3 linked regions of the Xenopus tropicalis genome follow. The protein of the gene in region 3 interacts with the protein of the main gene of each other region in a biochemical or structural test. Links are inferred from orthologs where the notes say so. Each region holds a gene or a part of one and is shown on either strand. Other genes may lie near its edges.

Region 1 (9,971 bases), on a different chromosome or scaffold from region 3:
GTCACAGAATAAATTCTTGAGTGAGATGGTGGGGGTTACCTTTTCTTCTTCTATTTCACCACCTTTCCAAACACCACACACAAATCTGCATTGTCCACAGTTTACCCAGTCATTTAAATGTGCAAAATCTTAATTCATTAAATGTAATAACTATAAGGGTAGCACCTCAGCATGAACAGGCGCCTGTTTGGGAAGCACTGGAAATAACCCTGGAGGAGACACATCACCTTGCTATCATTGAGCATGCAGTGTTGTCCAGCTTCTTCTGTGGTATAAGCCAGTTCAATAAGAATATTTCAAATTTTTTTTTTAGAGAGCCAAACCTCATAAAACAGGGATTGTTGGCCATCCTTCAATTGTAACCCCACAATTAACTTGCAGCCTACCGTATGAGAAGCCCTGCTCTACAGGGCCCTCATATGCACAGTCTCCTCCCAGTCATAAACAAATAGAAACGTTCAGTGCAAAGTGCCATGAACAAAAAAAAAAATTACACACATTTATCATGGCATCAGACTGCAACAAATCCTATGTCCAGGGACACAGAGAGGTTAAACATTTCCCTTTTTACCCTCTGCGTTCAAATCCCTTGACAGCTGCAGAGATCCATTTCACCTATGAACTCATGTCACCGCCGTCAAACAATGTTGATGGGGCTGCTTAAAAACATACCATTTCTGGCTACAGCATTACGGTTCTCCCCCCTCCCCAATCTGTTTTCCCCCAACACCTTTATAAGAGAATTATGGGATATATTTCAGTGTTGCGGTTTCCCATTTCTCCATTTTAGGGAAACAGAAGGAGTGCAGGGAAAAAGGGGACATGTGTGAAAAGCAGTTCAAACAACCCTGGCAGGACGCAGAATCCAGTCTCTGTGATCCTAAAGCGGCTGACACTCCGTGCTCTGAAAAATAAAAGCAAATTGTGAGTAAAATTGGCAACTCTGATCAAATAACCCAAGTACGTACCGCAGCCTCATCACTAAAGAAAATGATCCAGTGTATATATATAATTTTTTGTGTGCTCTTCTGTGACACTGCTCTTCGGCAAGCACCAATCAAACCATTAAGGGGCAGATTATAGAAGAACTGGTGTCACAGGCATAAGGGGCAGCTTCTGGGGAGGATTTTTTTTCCCATCACAGGGCAGATATACTGCCAAGCTGTGTAAAGTAATTCTAAGTCAAGGGGATACATCTGATGAAATATTGCACATGTAGTTAATAAGGTAGTAAAATTAGGTCTGCTAGTCTACAGCACACTGAAGATATAGAACAGCAAAAATACACACACATCTGTCATAACACAAAAACCAGGTCAGGCTAAAAAATATACACAGCAGGCATGACCCATTTTTAGATGCACTGCTTGATGCAAGACACTAAAGCGAATGTAAATGTTCTGTGCTTCTGGGAACATCACCACATCATATTCCCTGGATAACAGAGTTCCTGCATATGACAACACTTCACATTCCAACACTGCTGGGCTTGCGCATTCCATCAGTGTCCACAACAACACATCTATAAATTGCACATCAAACTGGTCATGCCAGGAAACATGCTAGCATCATTTCTCAGCATAACCAGTTTGTTGTGAAATGTGCATTTAATGCCCAAGAGACATAAGTAACTTATAAATAAATAAATGCTTATGCGCTTAGTCAAACAAATCTCTGAAACTTGTGTACAGAAAGTAAAATAAAGTACCTGTAACTTTTTAAGGAGTGGTTCACCTAAAGTTACCTTTTAGTATGCTATAGAACATCCTATTCTTAGCAACTTTTCACTTGGTCTTCATTTTTTTTTTTTTTTTTTTTTTTTAACTATTTGTATTCCTCTTCTGCCTCTTTCTAGCTATCAAATGGGGGTTACCAATCCCTGCAGCCAAAATACTACTGCTCTGTGAGACTGCAATTTTACTGTTGCCTTTTATTGCTTAATCAGACCCTTTCCTATTCATATTCCAGCCTCTCATTCAAACCACTGCTTGATTGCAGGAGTAACTTGGACCCTAGCAGCCATATATTTGCTAAAATTCCATACTACATAGCTGCTGATCAAAGGGCTAAGTAATTATAAGCACAATAAAAATAACACATGAAGACCAATTGCAAATTGTCTCAATATGTCACTGGCTACCTCACAAAATTAATTTAACAATAAACTACAACATAAAATATACAGATAAGTATATTTTAAAGGTCTAGTAATTAAATTGCTAGTATTAAAAAATATAACTTTATACCATGAATGGCAAAAACCAACTCCACCATTACACACACTGGAGTTAAGGGTAGAGAGCGGCACCAGGCCTGCTGCCTCAGGTGTCAATAGACCTACTGCAACCCTGCATTCAATGGTTTTATGTATTTCTAATATTGTGATTAACTACAGAGAGTTCTATCCATATGGTGAAGGGCTTAAACAATAATAAGCCAAAAAGTCGAATGACAAATTAATTTATATTTTGATTTTTTAAAGAACTCCCATGACACAGGAAGGGGTGTTTAAAATGTAAAGGTGCAATATGATTTTTCGCATTTACCAATTTGTTAGCTCTCTCTCTAGTGTTAAGTGTAATTGTTTAAGCAGGAAAGGTTTTACATACCTTAAGGGAATTTTAGCCTGGATTGTTGCAGGTCAATCGGAAGGATGTTCAGGACAACATCTGTTCACCTCAAACCAGGAATCTATACAGCTGCACATGTAGGGAGAAGAACAAGAGAAATTAAGGAGAAGTGAGGAAAAAAAAAAAAAAAAAGGGTAGGATATCGTGAACAAAACAATCACGGTTAAGAATGGAAACACATACTATGCACATAAAAGTATGTAAATTTAGAGAATGGAAAAAACAACAGCATGTGGAATAGAGATGTCATGGAATGGAAATTAAACAAAACCCCCACAGAAAGAAAAACACAGGGAAAGGGAAAATAGGCAATACAAGAAAGCATACAGAACATTATTAGAAAAGGTTACACAGAACAAATAAAAGACTGATGAAAGAATGGTTAAAGTGTGCCAAACTGGAACACATGCATAGGGGCCAAGGAAGAAGAGAAACAAGGGCAACAATTACACATTAGAGGGCAGGTGAAACAGAACCAGTAATGGGCACAGGTGTCCAGCCCTGTTTTGGCATAATCTTAGTACAATTGCGCAGCTTGTTTAGTAGGATACAGAAGGGCTAATAACAACCCTAATACTTAACAGGTACAGTGACAGGCTTTAGAAGCATTTGGTTACTAAGAATGCGTAGGGGATTTCAGTGGCCATTGATATCATTTATACCTGTACCAATGGTTGCACAGAAGTGCCAAATACAGTATGTTAATACATGTTAATTACTATCACCCAACTTTATGTATTATAAGAGACAATGTACCCTGTAATTTCAGAGTTGTGCCACTTGCATAAATACCCTTGAGCTGGTACCTTATTTGCTTTGGTATGGAACTCCTTTATGCCTTTTAATAAATTAGGGGATGCAACATTTATGCATACTACTTTGTTATATACACAACATGCATGCTGCAAAGTTACTACTGAAAACCTCTAATCCATCCCTCTATTCTTCCTCGTTTCTTCAGTTTCCTCCTTTTGATATCATTTGGCAGTTCAGTTTACCACTATTTTGCATTCTCTGTGCTTTATCCATCTTCATCTCCATGTTTCTAATAGTTGTTCTCATGGCCACAGCCCCTGCATGTTAAAGTGGCTCTCTAAGCCCTAGATGTAACCTGAACAGCCTATTAGGCTTTATATACTGCACACACTTTTTTTTTTTATATAGATAGCATATAATTACACAAACAATATAAATCTACCATGCACTTTTATTGAACAGGTGCAGAATCCAGACAGGTCCAGGAATGCTTGCTTAAAAAGTAACCCCTAAAAAAAAGCTTAATCGGCAAAACATTTGCCAATTGTCTGAGTAATTAAACAGCTTAATAATAACAGTTTTGTGATGTATATGCCTGTTCTACAAATATAAAACCTAATAATTAATAGTGATCACTAATTGCCCAATACTCTATGTTTCCTTAATTTGTTTCTCAAACACTAGGATAAATGCACAAGCTTTGGTAACACCCTTAATTGGCAAAAAACGATTTATTGGCTGTATAATAACCATTTTTATGACAGGTTTATACATATGATGAGTCATTAAATGTGTTTCAAGTAGACACCTGACACATAAGGACTTCCAAAGGGTTCTGGTTTGTTAGCAGCTGCAGGGGAGGCACAAGTACAAGCAATATCATCGGGCAGTAATTGCCCCCTGGCTAGCTGTCAGCAGAAACATATTCTGAAAGCATGGGTTACCACAGTAACAGCAATGCACATCAGGGTGGGACATGTGCCAAGTAACCAGGGCAACTATTTCTAAAGCGCTGCAACGTGTCTGTACCAAAAGGGAGTAACCAAAATACAGAACGATGAAAGCCATCAAAACAGGAAGTACACATGTTAAAGGGGAAGCACCTGACAAGATATAAACAAAAATAAAATCTACAAGAAAAAAAAACCCAAAAAACTAGCAGCAGCAGTATGAAGTGTGGATAAAAGGTGCACTAAAAGAAGAGAAGGTTGCCAGGAGTAGAGATATTGTAGCAAAAAAAGGACGCTATAATATTTGTGTGTTAGATAATAAAACTACAAGTTGACTGCTAGGCATTAAAAAGCTAGTTGGGCAGAATCCCAGAACATAGGGGGGGGAAAAACAGGATTCACACTATTTCTTTCTTATCTTTTTTCCTAACATACTGTAATATTCACTAACTAACTTTTGGCAGGCAATCTATGCAGCAGTCTTCAGGACACTGCACACTGGGCAATCAAAATAGGGCACTTGTTAGAGATATTCACAGAACTGCCCCATTCCAAATAGGGATTTGGCCATTGAAAACAGAGCGCGTAATGCTATTGAGATTTCTGTATGAGTTGAATCAATGTTAAGAAACATAACCCTATAACATTCATCAACAAATAAATAAAAAGATCAACTTGTAGGGGTTTATAACCTGTGGTATACTAAAATACTTGTTGTGCCCCAGTACATGACTTCAATACAGACTGAACATACTTGTGTGTGAGATAAATAAATTCTGAACTTGGCACGTAGAAACATGACATAAATCATAAAATATACATTACCTTTTGTGGTAGATGCACAGACAGGGCAGTCTGGCTATTGTATCCCCTTGTGAAAGTTCTTCCAGGCAGATTACACACTCACCCGCATCCCTAGTGAGCACATCATCTGCACAGGGAAATTACAATGCTTACAATGCATGGAACATACTACAGTAGTGACATGAAAGTTCAATATGGCAAGTTGAAGGAAGTTACTAAAAATTACACCAGTAGCAAACTGCTAATAAAAGTGTTATATATGATGCAGATAAAAACAAATGCTTGTTTTGTTTATTGTCAGTTGCCTGTAATAATCCCTTGTAGTCAATGAAATCAGGCTTTTTCCTAATAAAAAATAGACAACTTCTAATATAAAATTAAAACCTACTGGGCACATGGGGGCTAATTGTAAGCACTGGTCAAATTTGCAATTTTATATCTGTGATATGATTATTCAGCTAGCTGCAGGTCGAACAATGAAAGAAAACTACTGATTGGTTGCCATGGGTTACTGCCCAGGTGCCAATTTGCCCAGTGTTTATAAATGACCCCCCATGATTTATAAAAGTCACTCCATGGAGATGCATGGGTTTGTGATTTCTTATGTGACCTGTTTGGTTGGTCCACATTTGTTGAATGCAGCAACTATTTTCAATAACCTTATTGCACTGCATGGACCCATTCAAATCCTGGAGGAATTCTTTAGCTGACTGAGCATCACCACTAACTGCAGGGCAATCAGTCATACTGGAACCTTACTAAAAATGCCAATGTGCATAGGGCACAAAATATAATTACAGAATAGCCTACACTTGAATGTGTAGATTGAGACAAATGCTAGAAAAAATATCTGTGCTGCTTGCTTATAGAAACCCTATTTTAGTCAAACTCAAGCTGTTACCATGGAGAAGAAACATGTACAGAAAGGCAGTGTCCTTATTTATACTTTTCTCTTCTGTAAGTCACATCCTTCAAATAGAGCAAAAGACCTCCTGCAAGGAAAGCGTACCAAGCAATTCTATGCTGTACGCAAATTAAAATCTACCATAAGAAGCAGTGATTGTGCTTCTATGATTTAGATAAGAATTTACATAACTTCTCACCAAAAACCAGAAATTCCAAAAAAAATACCAATACCTACCTTTAAAGGAGAAGGAAAGGTAAAAACTAATTAAGCTTTATCAGAAAGGTTTATGTAAATACAGCCACAAGCACAGAGAGTCCTCTATCAAAAGAAACAGGATTTCTTCTCTACTTTTGTGTATACATGTACTTTGGTATCTGACTTCCTCTCTCAGAAAAAGAGTCTGTGCAGCTCTCTCCTGCTACCCACTCTCATAAGAATCCATAAGAACTCACTCCCCCTCCCATCAGAATGTGTGATCTATGCTACCAATGGCTAGAGCTGCTGCAGGAAGCTACAGAGACCAAACTAAAATGGCTGCTACTATCTTAAACAAATTGAGGGAGCTTCTATGGCTGTTTACTCAGGTACGATGAAGCTTTCTGCAGAATTAATATAGAATTCTAGCTTGCCCTAATGTGGTGAATGGCAGTAAAATGCCAAAATGGCTTCCCTTCTCCTTTAAAACACTGTTATTCTTCCTAAACAAGCTGGAATTACATTAAATGCTTTCCAAGGCAACATTACATCACTTTCTACAGCTCAAAAAAATATCAGAAGAATAACCAGTTAAGACTTTGCGAAATATACATCCGAATACAAACCTATACAATAGACTTATTATTTCTTTGAATGACAATTTCCTTGACTTAACAGAGGAAACTGCTTTCAGAAAAAAAAATATTTCAGATTAATGTGAAGGTTAGCAACACAAGCTTGGTGCAATACATACCATTATAGGACAGTCGAGGTTTGCTCAGACACATGATAAAGTGCATCTCCATCTCATCAGGGGCCACAGACTTGGAACAAATTGGGCAACGAAAACCTATAGACACAAACAGAAAAAAAAGCCTGATAATGCTGAAAGGGACGGCAAGCCTTAAAATAAACACTTTCTTTTTTGCTACAATATTTTAGAGAAACATTACAAAAAGCAGAACAGCAGTGCTGGAGATAAGTATCTAAGCAGGAAACAAATATTCATTATGCAAGTTTATGAAGTGTTGAATTCTGGTTTACATGATAAAACATCAAAGATGACACTTGAAAGGGTCAGTAACACCATCACATTAAAAAGTCCTTTATTGGTAGTACATAATGTACTCTTTAATTTGCACTTTTGAAATTCTGCATCATTTCCAGAAAATATGATCATTTTCTTTCAATATACATTCATTTTTCAGAACTGTGCAAACCAAGTTATGCCTAATTAATATTGAGGGCTGTTTTAAGGCCTTGGTGGGCCCTGGGCAAATACCCTCTACAATACCATCACTATATAATTACAGTTACACATTCAATATTAAATGAATACGGTCACGAGAAAATATGTTTTTTTTTTTCAAAATGCATAGATTTCCTTCAGCAGAATTTTGCATTTTTTATACTATATTTTGAAACTTCCCATGGGACTAGCCATATTCTTCATTTCCCAGTGTGCCACAGCCATGTGACTTGTGCTCTGATTAATTACAGTCCGTCTTTACTGCTGCTTTGCAAGTTGGGAGTGATATCACCGCCCCCAGAAGCCAATCAGCAGAACAATGGGAAGGTAGCAAGATAGCAAGTCCCTCACACCTACATTGCTAAAAGTGGCAGATAACAAAATAGCACTCAATAGTAAGAAATCCAAGTCTGGCTTGGGACCCCTCCAGTTACATGGGAGTAGGAGGAACAATAGGTTATCTGAAAGCAGTTCTAACATGTAGCACTTACTCCTTCTGAAAGTTCAGAATCAGGCACAATGCACTGAGATGGCTGCCTACACACCAATATTACAACTAAAAAAAATACATTTGTTGGTTCAAGAATAACAACATTTTAAATGGTAGAGTGAAATAATAAGTACACCATAAAACATGACAGAATATATTAAGATAAAAGGAAAAACAAAAAGTAGCATTTAGTACTACAGGTAAAGGACCCGTTATCCAGAATGCTCGGGAGCAAGGGCATTCCGGATAAGGGGTCTTTCCGTAATTTGGATCTCTATAACTTAAGTCTACTAAAGAATCAATAAAACATTAATTGAACCCTATGGATTGTTTTGCATCCAATAAGGATTATTTATATCTTAGTTGGGTTCAATTACAAGGTACTGTTTTATTACTACAGAGAAAAAGGAAATTGGTTTTAAAATTCTGAATTATTTGATTAAAATGGTGTCAGAAGCAATTCTGAGAAAACATGTAAATATGGAACTGTGGACGTTTATTTAAGGAGTGGTTCATCTTTAAATTACTTTTAGTATGATGTAGACAATGATATTCTAGGACAATTTGCAATCGGATTTCATTTTTCATTGTTTGTGGTTTAATTATTTACATTTTATACTGAATGTTGGAGGCAAAAAAAAAATATGGTTGGCCCAAAATTATTCTGAATTACCATCACGCAAGAAAGATTCCAGCAAATGCAATAATATCTGAGACAAGCTAAGGCCCAAGATAGAGGCATAGTGATAAAGCAGCATAAATAGGCACAAACAAGGACAATTTAATAAACTAAACACTGATGACTGACTACACAATGGAAAGAAGAATTTTTGAGTGAAAGATAAAAAGTGGCCTACGCCATACAGCAGCCCATAACAACAGCCTGAGTGGGAGTGGGACAGGGTGTTTTATGGCTTTTTTTTTCCCTACAGCTGCTCCATGTCTCTGCAGGTGCTGTGTGTGGTAAAAAAAAAAAAAAAAAAAAAAAAAGCTGAGCTGGCGTGGAGCATAATTGTTGAGCAATTAATGAGCAAATGCACCAATGTGCAAGAAAGACTAACTCTGTGTTATTAAGAAGGACTGGAAGGTCTGAGCCTGAAGCATTCGGGTGGCAGCCCTCTCTACTGTAAGTAACTTGGTGCCAGTGTGGTATTTAAAGAAAGGAGCCGGCCCATGTAGAAGGTAAGTAGTCAGGGTCACTGGAAGGCACCTAACAAATTGTCAGCAAACCAGTTATTTAAAGTTTCCTTCTTCAGTTTTAATTTACTTATTTCCAGTCCATTATACAAAGTAAAGCCATATTTTGAAAGCATAACATTTCAACATAAAATAGTTACAGGCCTATAGTATCAGGAACAGAAAATGTGTGCGGTGTTCGCTTCCGATGGTATGTCCACAAGCCAACACGTGTTTTAGAAATCTTTCAATTCCGTGGCCTAAGTATCATACAGCAGACCCTGCAGATGCAGGGGTGAGGGGGGTCTGGTGTATGGTAATTCCCCCCCTTTTATGTCACAATGTCAAACTGAAGTTTTGAAGCGGTGTATGGCCCTCTATGGCTTTCAAATAAATGTGCCTGCATATTGTCTGTTCTAGCAAAATCCTGTAAATTTAACAACTTAATACTTATAAGCTCTTATGTTTTTGATCATATTCTTCTTCACAAAACATATTTATTATATTTTCCTTTCACGTCTCCTATTAGCAGCTCAGTAAACCAGATCATTGTCTTTTGAAATTGTTACAATTTGACAAATTTGTTGATACATTCCTCTGCAGTCACAGCAGCTTTCCCACAGCTTTTACTAAAGTCACTAACAGAGCAGCAGTACACGTCAGCAACCTAGCTTGGGAGTTAAATATTTTTTTTCTTTTTCTTTATATCTGACTTTTCCTTTGGAGCTTACCCTGACCACAAGCACACAAACACTCGTACAGTCACACATACGCATATCAGAGAGTCATCAAAGGCCAGTTAACCTACCCATAG
Region 2 (10,027 bases), on a different chromosome or scaffold from region 3:
AGCCCTCTCCCACCTTATGTTGCAGGGGGTCTGAAAGCCATGCGACGATGGTGCATTACTGTGAGTGAAGTGGTTACTGCCCCAGGGCTGCGTAGCAGACAGTATGTGGGGTTACTGCCCCAGGGCTGTGTAGCAGACAGTACGTGGGGTTACTGCCCCAGGGCTGTGTAGCAGACAGTATGTGGGGTTACTGCCCCAGGGCTGTGTAGCAGACAGTACGTGGGGGTTACTGCCCCAGGGCTGTGTAGCAGACAGTATGTGGGGTTACTGCCCCAGGGCTGTGTAGCAGACAGTATGTGGGGTTACTGCCCCAGGGCTGTGTAGCAGACAGTACGTGGGGGTTACTGCCCCAGGGCTGTGTAGCAGACAGTACGTGGGGGTTACTGCCCAGGGCTGTGTAGCAGACAGTATGTGGGGTTACTGCCCCAGGGCTGTGTAGCAGACAGTATGTGGGGTTACTGCCCCAGGGCTGTGTAGCAGACAGTATGTGGGGTTACTGCCCCAGGGCTGTGTAGCAGACAGTACGTGGGGGTTACTGCCCCAGGGCTGTGTAGCAGACAGTATGTGGGGTTACTGCCCCAGGGCTGTGTAGCAGACAGTACGTGGGGGTTACTGCCCCAGGGCTGTGTAGCAGACAGTACGTGGGGGTTACTGCCCCAGGGCTGTGTAGCAGACAGTACGTGGGGGTTACTGCCCCAGGGCTGCGTAGCAGACAGTACGTGGGGGTTACTGCCCCAGGGCTGTGTAGCAGACAGTATGTGGGGTTACTGCCCCAGGGCTGTGTAGCAGACAGTACGTGGGGGTTACTGCCCCAGGGCTGTGTAGCAGACAGTACGTGGGGGTTACTGCCCCAGGGCTGCGTAGCAGACAGTACGTGGGGTTACTGCCCCAGGGCTGCGTAGCAGACAGTACGTGGGGTTACTGCCCCAGGGCTGTGTAGCAAGACAGTATGTGGGGTTACTGCCCCAGGGCTGTGTAGCAGACAGTTGTGGTTACTGCCCAGGGCTGCGTAGCAGACAGTATGTGGGGTTACTGCCCCAGGGCTGTGTAGCAGACAGTACGTGGGGGTTACTGCCCCAGGGCTGTGTAGCAGACAGTATGTGGGGTTACTGCCCCAGGGCTGTGTAGCAGACAGTATGTGGGGTTACTGCCCCAGGGCTGTGTAGCAGACAGTACGTGGGGGTTACTGCCCCAGGGCTGTGTAGCAGACAGTATGTGGGTTACTGCCCCAGGGCTGTGTAGCAGACAGTACGTGGGGGTTACTGCCCCAGGGCTGTGTAGCAGACAGTACGTGGGGGTTACTGCCCAGGGCTGCGTAGCAGACAGTACGTGGGGGTTACTGCCCCAGGGCTGCGTAGCAGACAGTACGTGGGGGTTACTGCCCCAGGGCTGTGTAGCAGACAGTATGTGGGGTTACTGCCCCAGGGCTGTGTAGCAGACAGTACGTGGGGGTTACTGCCCCAGGGCTGTGTAGCAGACAGTACGTGGGGGTTACTGCCCCAGGGCTGTGTAGCAGACAGTACGTGGGGGTTACTGCCCCAGGGCTGCGTAGCAGACAGTATGTGGGGTTACTGCCCCAGGGCTGCGTAGCAGACAGTATGTGGGGTTACTGCCCCAGGGCTGCGTAGCAGACAGTACGTGGGGTTACTGCCCCAGGGCTGCGTAGCAGACAGTACGTGGGGTTACTGCCCCAGGGCTGTGTAGCAGACAGTACGTGGGGTTACTGCCCCAGGGCTGTGTAGCAGACAGTATGTGGGGTTACTGCCCCAGGGCTGCGTAGCAGACAGTATGTGGGGTTACTGCCCCAGGGCTGCGTAGCAGACAGTACGTGGGGTTACTGCCCCAGGGCTGCGTAGCAGACAGTACGTGGGGTTACTGCCCCAGGGCTGTGTAGCAGACAGTACGTGGGGTTACTGCCCCAGGGCTGTGTAGCAGACAGTATGTGGGGTTACTGCCCCAGGGCTGCGTAGCAGACAGTATGTGGGGTTACTGCCCCAGGGCTGTGTAGCAGACAGTATGTGGGGGTTACTGCCCCAGGGCTGTGTAGCAGACAGTACGTGGGGTTACTGCCCCAGGGCTGCGTAGCAGACAGTATGTGGGGTTACTGCCCCAGGGCTGTGTAGCAGACAGTATGTGGGGTTACTGCCCCAGGGCTGTGTAGCAGACAGTATGTGGGGTTACTGCCCCAGGGCTGCGTAGCAGACAGTATGTGGGGGTTACTGCCCCAGGGCTGTGTAGCAGACAGTATGTGGGGGTTATTGCCCCAGGGCTGTGTAGCAGACAGTATGTGGGGGTTACTGCCCCAGGGCTGTGTAGCAGACAGTATGTGGGGGTTACTGCCCCAGGGCTGTGTAGCAGACAGTATGTGGGGTTACTGCCCCAGGGCTGTGTAGCAGACAGTATGTGGGGTTACTGCCCCAGGGCTGTGTAGCAGACAGTATGTGGGGTTACTGCCCCAGGGCTGTGTAGCAGACAGTACGTGGGGGTTACTGCCCCAGGGCTGTGTAGCAGACAGTATGTGGGGTTACTGCCCCAGGGCTGTGTAGCAGACAGTACGTGGGGGTTACTGCCCCAGGGCTGTGTAGCAGACAGTATGTGGGGGTTACTGCCCCAGGGCTGTGTAGCAGACAGTACGTGGGGGTTACTGCCCCAGGGCTGTGTAGCAGACAGTATGTGGGGTTACTGCCCCAGGGCTGTGTAGCAGACAGTATGTGGGGTTACTGCCCCAGGGCTGTGTAGCAGACAGTATGTGGGGTTACTGCCCCAGGGCTGTGTAGCAGACAGTATGTGGGGGTTACTGCCCCAGGGCTGTGTAGCAGACAGTATGTGGGGGTTACTGCCCCAGGGCTGTGTAGCAGACAGTATGTGGGGGTTACTGCCCCAGGGCTGCGTAGCAGACAGTATGTGGGGGTTATTGCCCCAGGGCTGTGTAGCAGACAGTATGTGGGGTTACTGCCCCAGGGCTGTGTAGCAGACAGTATGTGGGGGTTACTGCCCCAGGGCTGCGTAGCAGACAGTATGTGGGGGTTACTGCCCCAGGGCTGCGTAGCAGACAGTATGTGGGGTTACTGCCCCAGGGCTGCGTAGCAGACAGTATGTGGGGGTTATTGCCCCAGGGCTGCGTAGCAGACAGTATGTGGGGTTACTGCCCCAGGGCTGTGTAGCAGACAGTATGTGGGGGTTACTGCCCCAGGGCTGCGTAGCAGACAGTATGTGGGGGTTACTGCCCCAGGGCTGCGTAGCAGACAGTATGTGGGGTTACTGCCCCAGGGCTGCGTAGCAGACAGTATGTGGGGTTACTGCCCCAGGGCTGCGTAGCAGACAGTATGTGGGGTTACTGCCCCAGGGCTGCGTAGCAGACAGTACGTGGGGGTTACTGCCCCAGGGCTGTGTAGCAGACAGTATGTGGGGGTTACTGCCCCAGGGCTGTGTAGCAGACAGTATGTGGGGGTTATTGCCCCAGGGCTGTGTAGCAGACAGTATGTGGGGTTACTGCCCCAGGGCTGTGTAGCAGACAGTATGTGGGGGTTACTGCCCCAGGGCTGTGTAGCAGACAGTATGTGGGGGTTATTGCCCCAGGGCTGCGTAGCAGACAGTACGTGGGGGTTACTGCCCCAGGGCTGCGTAGCAGACAGTATGTGGGGGTTACTGCCCCAGGGCTGTGTAGCAGACGGTATGTGGGGGTTACTGCCCCAGGGCTGCGTAGCAGACAGTACGTGGGGGTTACTGCCCCAGGGCTGTGTAGCAGACAGTATGTGGGGTTACTGCCCCAGGGCTGTGTAGCAGACAGTATGTGGGGTTACTGCCCCAGGGCTGTGTAGCAGACAGTACGTGGGGGTTACTGCCCCAGGGCTGTGTAGGATAGGAGGAGGACATAGGATAACAAAACAAGCACAGGAATCCATTCTAATTAATCCCTTTTTCCTATTCAGATAACTGCCCGCCCCCTGTCCCCCCCTTACAGTATTTACTGCAGGGGCAGGACTACAAGTCCCAGAATGACTCTGTGTTTGCAGTAGGAGGGACAACGTTTGTTGTTGCTCTACACTACCCAGCATGCTTCACTCCAAGCAAACCAGGAAACGAAACCTGCTGTGACTGGGAGGGGTTTCCCCAATATCACATGTCCACCATCAACCAATTAGCTTTCAGTTTCTTCTGTCGCAACTACTGTAAGTCCTACGAGTTCTTCTCATTCTGTGAGTGAGAGGTTGTTCCGTCAGTAAATCCCGGTGAGTATGAGTGTGTGTCCCCCAGTCACTCAGTGAGTATGAGTGTGTGTCCCCCAGTCACTCAGTGAGTATGAGTGTGTGTCCCCCAGTCACTCAGTGAGTATGAGTGTGTGTCCCCCAGTCACTCAGTGAGTATGAGTGTGTGTCCCCCAGTCACTCAGTGAGTATGGGTGTGTGTCCCCCAGTCACTCAGTGAGTATGGGTGTGTGTCCCCCAGTCACTCAGTGAGTATGAGTGTGTGTCCCCCAGTCACTCAGTGAGTATGAGTGTGTGTCCCTCAGTCACTCAGTGAGTATGAGTGTGTGTCCCCCAGTCACTCAGTGAGTATGAGTGTGTGTCCCCCAGTCACTCAGTGAGTATGAGTGTGTGTCCCCCAGTCACTCAGTGAGTATGAGTGTGTGTCCTCCAGTCACTCAGTGAGTATGAGTGTGTGTCCCCCAGTCACTCAGTGAGTATGAGTGTGTGTCCCCCAGTCACTCAGTGAGTATGAGTGTGTGTCCTCCAGTCACTCAGTGAGTATGAGTGTGTGTCCCCCAGTCACTCAGTGAGTATGAGTGTGTGTCCTCCAGTCACTCAGTGAGTATGAGTGTGTGTCCTCCAGTCACTCAGTGAGTATGAGTGTGTGTCCCCCAGTCACTCAGTGAGTATGAGTGTGTGTCCCCCAGTCACTCAGTGAGTATGAGTGTGTGTCCCCCAGTCACTCAGTGAGTATGGGTGTGTGTCCCCCAGTCACTCAGTGAGTATGAGTGTGTGTCCCCCAGTCACTCAGTGAGTATGAGTGTGTGTCCCCCAGTCACTCAGTGAGTATGGGTGTGTGTCCCCCAGTCACTCAGTGAGTATGAGTGTGTGTCCCCCAGTCACTCAGTGAGTATGAGTGTGTGTCCCCCAGTCACTCAGTGAGTATGAGTGTGTGTCCCCCAGTCACTCAGTGAGTATGAGTGTGTGTCCCCCAGTCACTCAGTGAGTATGAGTGTGTGTCCCCCAGTCACTCAGTGAGTATGAGTGTGTGTCCCCCAGTCACTCAGTGAGTATGAGTGTGTGTCCCCAGTCACTCAGTGAGTATGAGTGTGTGTCCCCCAGTCACTCAGTGAGTATGAGTGTGTGTCCCCCAGTCACTCAGTGAGTATGAGTGTGTGTCCCCCAGTCACTCAGTGAGTATGAGTGTGTGTCCCCAGTCACTCAGTGAGTATGAGTGTGTGTCCCCCAGTCACTCAGTGAGTATGAGTGTGTGTCCCCCAGTCACTCAGTGAGTATGAGTGTGTGTCCCCCAGTCACTCAGTGAGTATGAGTGTGTGTCCCCCAGTCACTCAGTGAGTATGAGTGTGTGTCCCCCAGTCACTCAGTGAGTATGAGTGTGTGTCCCCCCAGTCACTCAGTGAGTATGAGTGTGTGTCCCCCAGTCACTCAGTGAGTATGGGTGTGTGTCCCCCAGTCACTCAGTGAGTATGGGTGTGTGTCCCCCAGTCACTCAGTGAGTATGAGTGTGTGTCCCCCTGTCACTCAGTGAGTATGAGTGTGTGTCCCCCAGTCACTCAGTGAGTATGAGTGTGTGTCCCGCAGTCACTCAGTGAGTATGAGTGTGTGTCCCCCAGTCACTCAGTGAGTATGGGCTCTGTCAGCCATTAGTGTGTGTCCCCCAGTCACTCAGTGAGTATGGGCTCTGTCAGCCATTAGTGTGTGTCCCCCAGTCACTCAGTGAGTATGGGCTCTGTCAGCCATTAGTGTGTGTCCCCCAGTCACTCAGTGAGTATGGGCTCTGTCAGCCATTAGTGTGTGTCCCCCAGTCACTCAGTGAGTATGGGCTCTGTCAGCCATTATTGTGTTTCCCCCAGTCACTCAGTGAGTATGGGCTCTGTCAGCCATTAGTGTGTGTCCCCCAGTCACTCAGTGAGTATGGGCTCTGTCAGCCATTAGTGTGTGTCCCCCAGTTACTCAGTGAGTATGGGCTCTGTCAGCCATTAGTGTGTGTCCCCCAGTCACTCAGTGAGTATGGGCTCTGTCAGCCATTAGTGTGTGTCCCCCCCCAGTCACTCAGTGAGTATGGGCTCTGTCAGCCATTAGTGTGTGTGTCCCCCAGTCACTCAGTGAGTATGGGCTCTGTCAGCCATTAGTGTGTGTGTCCCAGTCACTCAGTGAGTATGGGCTCTGTCAGCCATTAGTGTGTGTCCCCCAGTCACTCAGTGAGTATGGGCTCTGTCAGCCATTAGTGTGTGTCCCCCAGTCACTCAGTGAGTATGGGCTCTGTCAGCCATTAGTGTGTGTCCCCCAGTCACTCAGTGAGTATGGGCTCTGTCAGCCATTAGTGTGTGTCCCCCAGTCACTCAGTGAGTATGGGCTCTGTCAGCCATTAGTGTGTGTCCCCCAGTCACTCAGTGAGTATGGGCTCTGTCAGCCATTAGTGTGTGTCCCCCAGTCACTCAGTGAGTATGGGCTCTGTCAGCCATTAGTGTGTGTCCCCCAGTCACTCAGTGAGTATGGGCTCTGTCAGCCATTAGTGTGTGTCCCCCCCAGTCACTCAGTGAGTATGGGCTCTGTCAGCCATTAGTGTGTTTCCCCCAGTCACTCAGTGAGTATGGGCTCTGTCAGCCATTAGTGTGTGTGCCCCAGTCACTCAGTGAGTATGGGCTCTGTCAGCCATTAGTGTGTGTCCCCCCCCAGTCACTCAGTGAGTATGGGCTCTGTCAGCCATTAGTGTGTGTCCCCCCCCAGTCACTCAGTGAGTATGGGCTCTGTCAGCCATTAGTGTGTGTCCCCCAGTCACTCAGTGAGTATGGGCTCTGTCAGCCATTAGTGTGTGTCCCCCAGTCACTCAGTGAGTATGGGCTCTGTCAGCCATTAGTGTGTGTCCCCCAGTCACTCAGTGAGTATGGGCTCTGTCAGCCATTAGTGTGTCCCCCAGTCACTCAGTGAGTATGGGCTCTGTCAGCCATTAGTGTGTGTGTCCCCCAGTCACTCAGTGAGTATGGGCTCTGTCAGCCATTAGTGTGTGTCCCCCAGTCACTCAGTGAGTATGGGCTCTGTCAGCCATTAGTGTGTGTCCCCCAGTCACTCAGTGAGTATGGGCTCTGTCAGCCATTAGTGTGTGTGTCCCCCAGTCACTCAGTGAGTATGGGCTCTGTCAGCCATTAGTGTGTGTCCCCCAGTCACTCAGTGAGTATGGGCTCTGTCAGCCATTAGTGTGTGTCCCCCAGTCACTCAGTGAGTATGGGCTCTGTCAGCCATTAGTGTGTGTGTCCCCCAGTCACTCAGTGAGTATGGGCTCTGTCAGCCATTAGTGTGTGTCCCCCAGTCACTCAGTGAGTATGGGCTCTGTCAGCCATTAGTGTGTGTGTCCCAGTCACTCAGTGAGTATGGGCTCTGTCAGCCATTAGTGTGTGTCCCCCAGTCACTCAGTGAGTATGGGCTCTGTCAGCCATTAGTGTGTGTCCCCCCCCCAGTCACTCAGTGAGTATGGGCTCTGTCAGCCATTAGTGTGTGTCCCCCCAGTCACTCAGTGAGTATGGGCTCTGTCAGCCATTAGTGTGTGTGTCCCCCCCCAGTCACTCAGTGAGTATGGGCTCTGTCAGCCATTAGTGTGTGTCCCCCAGTCACTCAGTGAGTATGGGCTCTGTCAGCCATTAGTGTGTGTCCCCCAGTCACTCAGTGAGTATGGGCTCTGTCAGCCATTAGTGTGTGTCCCCCCCAGTCACTCAGTGAGTATGGGCTCTGTCAGCCATTAGTGTGTGTCCCCCAGTTACTCAGTGAGTATGGGCTCTGTCAGCCATTAGTGTGTGTCCCCCCCAGTTACTCAGTGAGTATGGGCTCTGTCAGCCATTAGTGTGTGTCCCCCAGTCACTCAGTGAGTATGGGCTCTGTCAGCCATTAGTGTGTCCCCCCCAGTCACTCAGTGAGTATGGGCTCTGTCAGCCATTAGTGTGTGTGTCCCCCAGTCACTCAGTGAGTATGGGCTCTGTCAGCCATTAGTGTGTGTCCCCCAGTCACTCAGTGAGTATGGGCTCTGTCAGCCATTAGTGTGTGTCCCCCAGTCACTCAGTGAGTATGGGCTCTGTCAGCCATTAGTGTGTGTCCCCCAGTCACTCAGTGAGTATGGGCTCTGTCAGCCATTAGTGTGTGTCCCCCCCAGTCACTCAGTGAGTATGGGCTCTGTCAGCCATTAGTGTGTGTGCCCCAGTCACTCAGTGAGTATGGGCTCTGTCAGCCATTAGTGTGTGTCCCCCCCCAGTCACTCAGTGAGTATGGGCTCTGTCAGCCATTAGTGTGTGTCCCCCCCCAGTCACTCAGTGAGTATGGGCTCTGTCAGCCATTAGTGTGTGTCCCCCAGTCACTCAGTGAGTATGGGCTCTGTCAGCCATTAGTGTGTGTGTCCCCCCCCAGTCACTCAGTGAGTATGGGCTCTGTCAGCCATTAGTGTGTGTCCCCCAGTCACTCAGTGAGTATGGGCTCTGTCAGCCATTAGTGTGTGTCCCCCAGTCACTCAGTGAGTATGGGCTCTGTCAGCCATTAGTGTGTGTCCCCCCCAGTCACTCAGTGAGTATGGGCTCTGTCAGCCATTAGTGTGTGTCCCCCCCAGTCACTCAGTGAGTATGGGCTCTGTCAGCCATTAGTGTGTGTCCCCCAGTCACTCAGTGAGTATGGGCTCTGTCAGCCATTAGTGTGTCCCCCCCAGTCACTCAGTGAGTATGGGCTCTGTCAGCCATTAGTGTGTGTGTCCCCCAGTCACTCAGTGAGTATGGGCTCTGTCAGCCATTAGTGTGTGTCCCCCAGTCACTCAGTGAGTATGGGCTCTGTCAGCCATTAGTGTGTGTCCCCCAGTCACTCAGTGAGTATGGGCTCTGTCAGCCATTAGTGTGTGTGTCCCCCCAGTCACTCAGTGAGTATGGGCTCTGTCAGCCATTAGTGTGTGTCCCCCAGTCACTCAGTGAGTATGGGCTCTGTCAGCCATTAGTGTGTGTCCCCCAGTCACTCAGTGAGTATGGGCTCTGTCAGCCATTAGTGTGTGTCCCCCCAGTCACTCAGTGAGTATGGGCTCTGTCAGCCATTAGTGTGTGTCCCCCCCAGTCACTCAGTGAGTATGGGCTCTGTCAGCCATTAGTGTGTGTGCCCCAGTCACTCAGTGAGTATGGGCTCTGTCAGCCATTAGTGTGTGTCCCCCAGTCACTCAGTGAGTATGGGCTCTGTCAGCCATTAGTGTGTGTGTCCCAGTCACTCAGTGAGTATGGGCTCTGTCAGCCATTAGTGTGTGTCCCCCAGTCACTCAGTGAGTATGGGCTCTGTCAGCCATTAGTGTGTGTCCCCCCCCCAGTCACTCAGTGAGTATGGGCTCTGTCAGCCATTAGTGTGTGTCCCCCAGTCACTCAGTGAGTATGGGCTCTGTCAGCCATTAGTGTGTGTGTCCCCCCCCAGTCACTCAGTGAGTATGGGCTCTGTCAGCCATTAGTGTGTGTCCCCCAGTCACTCAGTGAGTATGGGCTCTGTCAGCCATTAGTGTGTGTCCCCCAGTCACTCAGTGAGTATGGGCTCTGTCAGCCATTAGTGTGTGTCCCCCCAGTCACTCAGTGAGTATGGGCTCTGTCAGCCATTAGTGTGTGTCCCCCAGTTACTCAGTGAGTATGGGCTCTGTCAGCCATTAGTGTGTGTCCCCCCCAGTTACTCAGTGAGTATGGGCTCTGTCAGCCATTAGTGTGTGTCCCCCAGTCACTCAGTGAGTATGGGCTCTGTCAGCCATTAGTGTGTCCCCCCCAGTCACTCAGTGAGTATGGGCTCTGTCAGCCATTAGTGTGTGTGTCCCCCAGTCA
Region 3 (10,071 bases):
TTGCCTTCTTCATTTGCCTCTCTTTTCAGCTCTTAAATAAGGTTCTATAACTCACAACAGTTTATGAATCTCACTGTAAATTACAATTATTACGATTAAACAACATTAAAATGTTAAGATCACATCACTGTCTAATTTAGTTTAATTAAAAAGTACTTCCCATTCCCATAAAAACAAGCAAGGAGTAATACCAAAAACTTTGGAGGGGCCCCTCTGTACTGAGAACATCAATTGTGAACTGGCCAAATGAATGTACATTATGCGCTTGTGTATATTAAAGGCCAGCTTCTTTATGTCACATGATTGTGTGATGTCACAGGATGTGTGCTCCTTTGAAGGGGAACCCTCCCTAGTTCCAAATGTAACTATAGTAACTCCACTTTGCTCCAGATTAACTTCTATAATAACATTCAAGTGCCCATGCATCCAGTTAACCACTGTGTAAAGCACATTATATAACCAAAAAGGTATCCGTGAGGTTGCTATATTTAAAGGAGCATCAATCCACAATAATTAACAAGAATATAAAATAGGTATTCCTTTCAAAAATCTGTAAATGTATTACTAAAATTTATCATATGACTAATACTTATAAAGTACTCAAGATCTCTTAAAGACTGCAGGGAAGCTGCAACAAAACAAAAAAAAATCTTTATGTTTATACGTACAGTATATAACCAATAATGTGCCAAGACTTCCTTAATCATCTCAGTTTTTAACCAGAAGCTTTGCTAGCATTTCGCTGCCCTACTCAAGAAAGAAAAGAGAAATACAAGATACACACAGTGCATGGCTAAGGGCCTATTCCAAAAAAGGTTGAAAATTAAGACTCTTATTTAGTCCACAAGGCGCTTGCGAGGGGATATGATTACTCTGCACAAGTACATTAGAGGGGATTATAGACAGATAGGGGTGTTCTTTTTTTCCCTTTCTATACAGACTTGCTTCAATCAGCCTATCTCCATTTACCTCCAATGTGACATCCAAGAAGTTTAACTTTGTTTGGTCATGTGTATGTGAACTTCAAATGGAAACTGTTTATATTTAAGGCATCCACAAACTCAGTGGGGGACCCTGCTGCACTGTAACAATATCATTAATATATTGATGTAAGACTTGTTCATCCATTTTACTATCCTTTAATAACCACCTTTCCCATGATCCCAAATATAAATTGGCCTAATTAGGGGCACATTTTGCCCCCATCGCCACTCTCTGAGCCTGGAAATAGTATATGCCATTAAAAGCTAAAACATTTTTTTAATTGAACTAAATAAAACAGTGATGTGATCTTAACATTGTGATTTACAGTGAGATTCACAAATTGTCATAAATTTTGTAAGTTATAGTTTCTGGACTTTGGAGATGTTTACTGTTTCTTACTGTGGTTGGGAATGTCCTGCATTAAAATTAGAAGTATATTACTAACCCTTAAATTAGGGTCACTGACCAAGGTATTATCTCAAACTGTCTCAGAATGTCACTGTCTGCATCATACTAAGGGACAGATTCATTCAAATTCAAATTTGTGTAATTTTAATGGATTTTTCTACCATAAAAAAACTCTCAAATTAAAAAAGCACTAATGTTGACTTGATAAATTAACATAAATTGGTGTTTTTGATTCATTTGTAAAATACACGATTTTCAGCACCAAAAAGTATGATTTGTGAAAATGAAAATAAATGCAAACTTTCGTAAATCTGGCTTTACAATGTAATTTAAAGGTGAATTACCACTTAAAGTGAAAATACAACTGTTAGCACACAAATGTAAAATTTAGCTTTTCAGAATCCCCTGCTTTTTTTTTTTTAGGAAGCAGATAAAGGCCCTTTAAAAAAAGGGCAACTAATTTCAACCTGTGTAAAAGCAAGAATGTTTTCATGTTTAAATTGAAATAGGATACAGGTTATAGTTGTCTTTATAAAAAATAAATAAATAAAAAATGAAGTATTTTTCATGTGAGTCATCTTGTGTTATCTATTTGCTTGGACTGCTGCCATACTGGAGGCTTGGACCAACGCCACAGGAACTGAACCAGGGAAAAAAATATGTAGGAAGGTATGTAAATGATTCCCAGACAGATGTGTCTTCAGAAAATGGTCATAAGTCCCTGGTGAAACGCAACCTCAGTAAAGACAGAAACATGCAGATTGTGAGCTCTACAGGGCAGGGACCTTCTTGTTTCTTTGACATTTAAATCTGGGGAATCTTTAATTCAGCTGTACTTTGTATTCATTTGGACCTATTATTGTAATGACTCCCTGTTTATTCTATTTATTTATTGCTGTAGAGTACTGCATACATAAATAGCACTATATAAATAAAATTACACATAAACACAAATACAGGGATAGTGCTCATAATCCATAGACCTTTCTGCCCAGTCCTGATTGCCGCTCAAAGGTACTAAAGAATGACAAGAAACAAAAATTTCTTTGTGAGCATAAAGTCTGAAAAAATATATTATCTCCTTCAGTAGAAATAGGTACAAATGTAGGTCTGTGATGCAAGGTTAGCGATTAAATTCACTAGGGCACGAGTAACAAATTGAGGCCTGCCAAGTGAAATTTTTAGAATGTTTGTATTTATTTCCTGGTATTTATGCACCAACATATTTCTGAGGCACCTTCTGCTTCATTGGATATTAGGGTAGTGGCACACAGGGAGATTTGTTGTCTGTGGCTAACTTTGGCAACAAATCTCCTTAAAATGCTTTCCCACTGGCAATAAAATGAATCTTTGGTGGGAAAGCACACATGGCTTGAGCACTATCTGCAAGGAGTTAGTATGTTCCCAGAGAATGTACCCGCCTTCCAGCCCGCTTCAACATGGCACCCGCAGGGTGGTATTGGGCCTGTAATGATGTCTGATGTGTGTCACACCAAAAACATACAGGCAAGTTAATTGGTTACTCATTTTACTGACCATAATGTGATAGGGACCTTAGACTGTAAGGGCAGTGGCACACAGGGAGATTAGCCGCCTGCAGTTAAAGTCAGATCGCTGGTGGGAAAGCACACACGTCACTTTGTTTTCCAGTCATGCAATGTTTTCTGCACAAGAAACTTTGGCCAATGTAGTGCTGCATATTCCTTTCCACCAATAAGTCACTTTATTGCCAGTGGGAAAGCATTTTAGGGAGTAGGCAGTTAACTTATCTATATGTTTTTGGTGTGTGAGATGGAACTGGACTAGCCAGAGCTACTCCAGACACAGAAAGAACATACCAACTCCTTGCATGCTCAAACTGGTTTTGAATACAGGATCCCAGCACTGCAAGGCAGTCCACTAAGCCACCATGAATTAAGCTTTTGTTGATGCTGGGGTTTCTGCAAAATGTGTAAACAATTTCTGATAGACTGGCTCTATACACTATTACCCCGACTTCTATTCAAGTAGAGTCTTATATTCTGTTACCAAAAGAATCAAAACATTTGCTACCTGCCTAACATTACATTCAGAGGGTGTTAATATGAAGTTGCTTTTTTTTCTGCTAATATAATAGTGAAGTCATATGGTTTTATTCAAGGTGTCCTACTTTCAGGCCTTATAGCATAGTCTGACTCCAGTTTCATTTCTTGTCTCGCCAGCTGTATGGGGTGGGGTGAAGCTGAAACCTCATCATGCTAACACGACTGTTCGTTTCTTACGTCTTGTTGGTTTTCAATGTCTTCTATGCTCGCTACAGGCAGTGCATAGAAGACATACTGAAACACTTAAGCATTGTTCCTTGGGCTAAAATGAACATTCTGACTACACACACCAACAAGCGTGATTACATCATTATACATGAGAGGAATAACGAGTCCCGTTACAACTACATCTCCCATGAGCCTGTGGGCTGTCGCAATGACGTCAGCGGAAGCGGATGCCGCGCTCTCACTTGTGCGTGACAGGGGGATCCGGTGGCACGCAGAGAGTTGGAGGCTGCACGCATTATAAGACAGGATGGCCGGGCTGCCTCGCAGGATAATCAAGGTAATTGGCGGCTTGTAGCTAGTGAAGTAGTAGCGATTGCTTTACGTTATGTCTTGGGCTTAGATCAGCGGCATTGATCCGAATGAATGGAGACAAGGCCCGGGAATGTCCCCGCCCTCCAGCCCGCTTCAACATGGCACCCGCCGGGTGGTACTGGGCCTGTAGTGATGTCTGATGGGGTTGAGGGTCCGGGGTCGCTATGTGTGCGCGCCTTGTATAGGAAACCACCCCAACGGGGATATGGGGACAACGTTATTTTTTGTGCTTGAAGTAAAACCTTGTGCCGACCACACCCACGCCATTTGCTTGTAGTCTGTTAGCGTTAAGGCTACATAAGGGTACAGATATGGGGGGGGGGGTATATAGGAATGAGTTACACTGTAGCACATAGGGTGACTCCCCCAGACACTGCATGCCATTACTAATACGTGTGCTTAGTGTTTAGGAGCTATATCGCATTTTACTGCATCAATTGACGGCAGAGGTGTCGGCAGTAGACCATTTTATATATAGGTAGGCTATTGATTAGTAAGGAGGGTATATTTCATCTTGGCTCACTATTTATTGCACCTCATTTAGTTAAATTGGGAGCCAAATAGTTCTGCTTGTCACTGTACCCCAATGTATTCTACATTTTTACATGGCTGTTGGTTGAGCCATGCTAAGGGGGATTTTACCCTTACTAAATACTAGCGCAGAGCTGCTTCTAGGTAAGTGTTACGTTTTTCTGGGGTATCCAGGTGACTTTGGAACAACTCACGAACCACTAATTAATTTAGGATCCTTTAAGCACCATATTATAATTCGTAATTACTGTTCTTCAGTGGCGTTTTCGGTCAGGTAAAGGTTATGGAGACCCAACCTAAGTAGCGTGGACGGGGATTCATTGTGGTTCCCCAACACCTAGATTAAGAATTCTTATTCTAGGTAAACTACTTAATGACACACAGAGCTACTAGTTGCAGCCACAAAGTACCAGAAAATACCCTTCTATAGATAATACTGAGAATTGTCTCTGCTGAAACACATATTGAGAATATTTACTGTTGTCTATTTTGTAGCCACAACAAGTAGCTCCATCTGTCAATGCTCTAAAGAGGCAACCAGGTTCCCTCTTTTGTGGTGTCTCTGCGTAATGTGCAGTCTCTCAGAAGACCTGTTCTTGTCCCAGCAGCTTGTGATAGGTTATATTTTGCCACAGGATTCACTATTAGCTTTTCAGAACTTCAGCCACAACATTTATTTGTGGAACGCATGGCATATACTTTATTCTGAAGTTGCATCATCCCTTTAAGTCAAATAAAGATACAGTTGAATGTCATATGATGTGAGGCACTGAAGGAAGCAGATATCTGTCCTTTAAATCTTCATGCTAAATGGTTGGGTAACTTAGGTTGATAGTATTGCCATTTACAGTGGTTGGGAAATTGGCCTATGAATATCAATATTGGACTAGGTACTGTGCTGAAGCCCAGATTTTACTTAAATTCTAATTAAATATTTTAAATGTTCATTTTTTGGGATGTCTGCCTCTGCTAAGCTCTATCTGCTTCACTTTTTTATGTGAATCAGTGACAACCATCTTCTATATTGTCAGCAGTGTTTCCACATTTCCTGTCTAAATTATATCATATATTATGCAAGATACTTTTAACCAGTATTTGAACCTTTTTTCCAACCTCACATGTATAATTAAATATTTTTGCTGGACTTCTTACATACATCTGATATACAAAGAAAACATTTCGCAAAATACACGGATGAAATGGAAGAAGTTTGTGGCTGGATGTGATGAGATTGAAAAATATAGCACACTCTTGCTTTCAATATAGTAGCTATTTAAGTGCATCGCTGTAACACATGCAGAAAAACTGGCATATAAACCATGCACCAAAGTGGTATATGTAGTTTAATTCAGCAGGAACAGATCACCAGCACTTCCTGTCATGATTCCAGCTTACACCACTTTAATTTCTAAAGCTAATTGCTGGCAACCTGTCAAAATGCTGCACTGAGTGCTGGGAGAGAGATGTTGGTGATGGTGTAGACAGCATCACTAAATAAAATCAAACGGTTAAAATCATTTGGCTTAAAAAGCCCTTAGATGTTTTGTTTTAATGCATATTATCATTTAATGCATATTTGTTGTAAAAGTTTTTGGTTTGTTTTGCTGTTGCAGTTAAAATGAAACCGTATTTTACATGTAAAATATTTATTTGAAGCTACACAGCAAATCTGAATCTCACTATGGCTTCCTTGGAGTATTTCTAACATACATAAGATAACATGCAGTGAAATAATGTGCCATCAATTGGGTGTTGACCCTTGGCAACAATATAGATATTGCCTGCATGCATTTTATTTTCCATTCAACGTTTATAAATTGTCTAATGCAATTATCATGATCTTCTGATATGTCTAACATAAGAAAGCTTCAGTTTTCTTATTAGCGAATCAAGTGGAAAGTCTGGTTTGATCTTGTCAAGGATCCATGTTTGTTCCTTGCTATCTGTGGTATTCTCAAAAGTTATTACTAACTCGAGTTCAAAGGCATCAGTACATTTACTGGCCTGCTTCTTTATTTTTCAGTTTTATTCACTATTACATACCATTTTTTCATGATATTTCTTGTCCTGATTTCTATTTCAGTTTATAGCTAGTTCACATGATTTTGCTCTTTTTTTTTTAGTTACCCTACCTGCCTACTGAAGATCTTTCCCACAACCATTCCTTATGGGAAAGATTAAGCCTTTTACTGTGTTGAATATTTATAGAACCTGTTGACAAAATGTAAATGCAGTTAGACCAAGTTGCAATTGTTTGATGTGTCAGAGTTGCATATTGATCATAATCCCTCCACTTTCCACTGAGGACATTCTAATTCAGCAGTCTTGATGAGCGAGCTGTGGAGACTGGTATGAACAACACGGTTCTAATATATGTTTGTTTAAAGAAAAAAAAGTGCGTTTAAAAGATTGCTAGGCATTAACCATTTTTCATTTTGAAAACCTATATAATGAAGAGCTCTCTCACTTGGTTAAGAGATTGTAAACCCAAAATTATATTTTGACTAAATAAAATGGCATTTTACTACATTAAGAGTTAAAACCACCCCTGTAGAACTGGAAAGACATGCTGATTTTAAATGCATTTTACATTTACAGATAGCAGAAAAATGTTAATGAATGTAAATTAAAAAGTTGCATAGAATGATATATTCCTGTATTAAGCAAAATTTAGTTTGGGTTTACATCCCCTTAATAGCAAGGGTTATTGAAAAGATCAATCAGTGCGGCTAGCTAGCCTTTATGAAGCTTAGTTTGCATATGCAATTATCAAATATTCCCATGTGACTGAAGGCAAGCAGCTACAAAAGATAAAATTGTATGTTTTTAGTGCTTGCTAAGAGGTTGCTGCTGCTGTCCAACACTAAAGCTGGCCATACAAGCACCGATGATATCATACGAAACCTAGTTTCGTATCTCAATAAACATGCATACAGTTTTCATCCCTGCACCCTCTCTTCCAGCTGTATATCTTAAGGGAGGAAAATTAAGAGGTGAAAAGTGTGCAGTTGAAACCTGTGCTATATATTTAATTTTGCTTGTGAAATTTACTGTTGATATTTACTGATTTTGACTAAGTATTATGGTTGGGCTTGTTTATCATTCTGCTATGAGCCCTATTTATTCTAATGGGAGGAGAGGCATCTTCTTGTCTACTGTACTGGTATGCAGCACTGAGCAAGCTAAATAGTTTTACTTTGGAATTATAGAGAATTGTTGATGTGTGTATAGTGGAAACACTTTCAATGCATAATACACATTAAAAAAGGTTGGTGAGACCAGTAGAGAAGCCCTTGAAATTGCCCTTCATTTATTTGAATGGGAAATGTCTTTTCAGCCTGAAAGCACTCACCAGAGCATCATTGACAAAAAGCATCAGTACTGGCACTGTCAGTAGTTTCCTATTATGTGAATGGAAGGCTGCAGAGAGCAGTTTCAAACACACAACTGGCAGAAATTGCCATGTGTGCCATCTCTGTACCTTTGAAACAGATATTTATTATCATTCATTCAGTTGCTGTTTCTCTAATAATAATACAGTATTTTATAGTTGAGGGTAAGTAAGCTTGCATAAATCCATGTTGGTGGCAAAATAATCTTATACATTTTTATTTTGTATAGACTGTCATTGTGTTTTTATGGTGTGGTTTTGAAAAGTCCCTTGGCATAATTACAGAAACGTAATGATGCAGGGAACCTGCTTATAATGAGGTACCTTGTTCCACATATTCATGCAGTGACACAGAATTGCTGGTTCCATCTTGCTTATTTCATCCACATATGGTAGTTGCATTTTAATCAATACTCATGGAAAGTTAATGGCGTTTTTCAACCAACACCAAATATACACTGTTGTGTAGTGAGAAATGCACATTTTTGACATTTGGCTGACGCAATTGATTCCCCTATGAATGCACAATTACACCAATGAGGGAATTTAAAAAAAAAATACCACATTTATTTTTTTTATTGCCTTTTAAAGCATAGTGCACATTATTGAAAGACCCCTCATTATCTCCAGGTAATTCTGCATAGTAGATCCTATACCTATAGTAGATTCTATTCTAGAATAGGTTAATGTTTTTTTTCCATGGATTATTTTTTCATTTTAAATTACTGTTATGAATTGATAATTTAATAGAAGATTAAAAATACATTAAAAAAATTAGAGCAATTTGCAATAGGAAGGGGCAAATAGTGACTCTTGTTCTGAAACTGCAATATACCTTTATTTTCTTTCATTCATTTGCCACGTTATTTTTGGCCTTGATGGTACTGGGTAAGTGCAGCAGCAGTCCTTCACTAAGGTACCCTTCTCTCTTGTGGAATTTTAGTGTTTGACGTCCCCTTTTGATAAGTCAAAGTGGTTGCTAAATTATTGGCGTCATTCGAGATGCATGCTCTTCAGTTTTTAAAACCTGTTATCTATTAGATATGGATATGAGCTTTTCTACATCCAGGATTTTTTCCAGTTGAGTTAAAGGGTAAGTTTAAAGTAAAGCTCATCACATAATTTTACTATAAATGCAACCTCTTATTACCAGCCCTTTCTTAGCAAAGATCTGTACATGAAAAGATACACCCAGGAACATTTACATACAGTATATAAAATACAAGTATGGGATGCTTTTTCCGGAAACCCATTATCCAGAGAGTTCTGAATTACAAAGGCCATTCACTATAGGCTCCATTTAAATCAAATTATTCACATCTTTGAAATGATTTCCTTTTTCTCTGTAGTGATAAAACAGTACTTTTGTTCTTGATCCCAGCTAAGATCTAATTAATACTTATTGGAAGCAAACCCATCCTATTGCGTTTATTTGATTTTTAAATTAACTTTTAGTATATTTAAGGTATGGAGATCCAAATTAAGGAATGACCTGTTATCTAAAAAACCCGAGGTCTCAAGCATTTTGGATAACCGGTTCCATACCTGTAAGCATTTCTGCTCTTTTCTTTTATGCAGTGGAACACTATTAGTGATTGTGAATGAGTTTCAGGAGGCGGGGCATATTGCAGGGTTACCAGATTAGTTGAAAATTCAGGAACACATCTAAAAAATCCAGCTAGATGCAACAACCCCTTGGTTGTTGCATAGGGGCCTATTCATTAAAGTACGATTGTGTCCGAATGCTAAAAATTCTTATTTTTTTTCTAAGTTTTAGAACTGTGCATGTTTTCTGCAAATTTTTTTTTCTTTTTTTTTAGTTTCCCAACTTTTTCATACTTTGCAACAAAATTGTATTTGACGCAACAAGTACAAAAGTTTCGTTACTCATTCAGTAACGGTCCTATGGGAGGCTTCCAGAAACATGCACTGAAGGCTCAAAGTCAAAGTTTTTTGTTTACGATCATTCAGATACGAAAATTTGTGAACTTTCGGATCGTACCACAAAATTTTTGTACGACCACAATGCGAGTTTTTGCGCAATTAACGCACATGAGAAATTTTCATACTTGATACAAATTTTTCCTAAACGTACTTTTAAAAGTCTGAAATTCGGACTTTGATAAATGGGCC

What was found.
Region 1: the proteins of ube2n (region 3) and znrf1 form a complex in vitro, tested with the Homo sapiens proteins (3 studies listed by BioGRID, with this or other methods). The link is inferred for Xenopus tropicalis from reciprocal best matches to the Homo sapiens genes UBE2N and ZNRF1.
Region 2: the proteins of ube2n (region 3) and trim25 form a complex in vitro, tested with the Homo sapiens proteins (3 studies listed by BioGRID, with this or other methods). The link is inferred for Xenopus tropicalis from reciprocal best matches to the Homo sapiens genes UBE2N and TRIM25.

What each region holds. Positions count from the first base shown.
Region 1 is NC_030680.2:74,500,298-74,510,268, forward strand, and holds part of znrf1 (E3 ubiquitin-protein ligase ZNRF1), read right to left. Parts: intron 7,093-9,971; coding exon 6,997-7,092; intron 5,268-6,996; coding exon 5,162-5,267; intron 2,700-5,161; coding exon 2,642-2,699; 3' UTR 2,610-2,641; intron 905-2,609; 3' UTR 1-904. UniProt on the Homo sapiens protein: E3 ubiquitin-protein ligase that plays a role in different processes including cell differentiation, receptor recycling or regulation of inflammation. Mediates the ubiquitination of AKT1 and GLUL, thereby playing a role in neuron cells differentiation.
Region 2 is NC_030686.2:52,265,320-52,275,346, forward strand, and holds the start of trim25 (tripartite motif containing 25), read left to right. Parts: upstream 1-3,916; 5' UTR 3,917-4,172; exon of another isoform or gene 4,173-4,232; intron 4,233-10,027.
Region 3 is NC_030679.2:56,093,130-56,103,200, reverse strand, and holds the start of ube2n (ubiquitin-conjugating enzyme E2 N), read left to right. Parts: upstream 1-3,933; 5' UTR 3,934-3,951; coding exon 3,952-3,981; intron 3,982-10,071. UniProt on the Homo sapiens protein: The UBE2V1-UBE2N and UBE2V2-UBE2N heterodimers catalyze the synthesis of non-canonical 'Lys-63'-linked polyubiquitin chains. This type of polyubiquitination does not lead to protein degradation by the proteasome.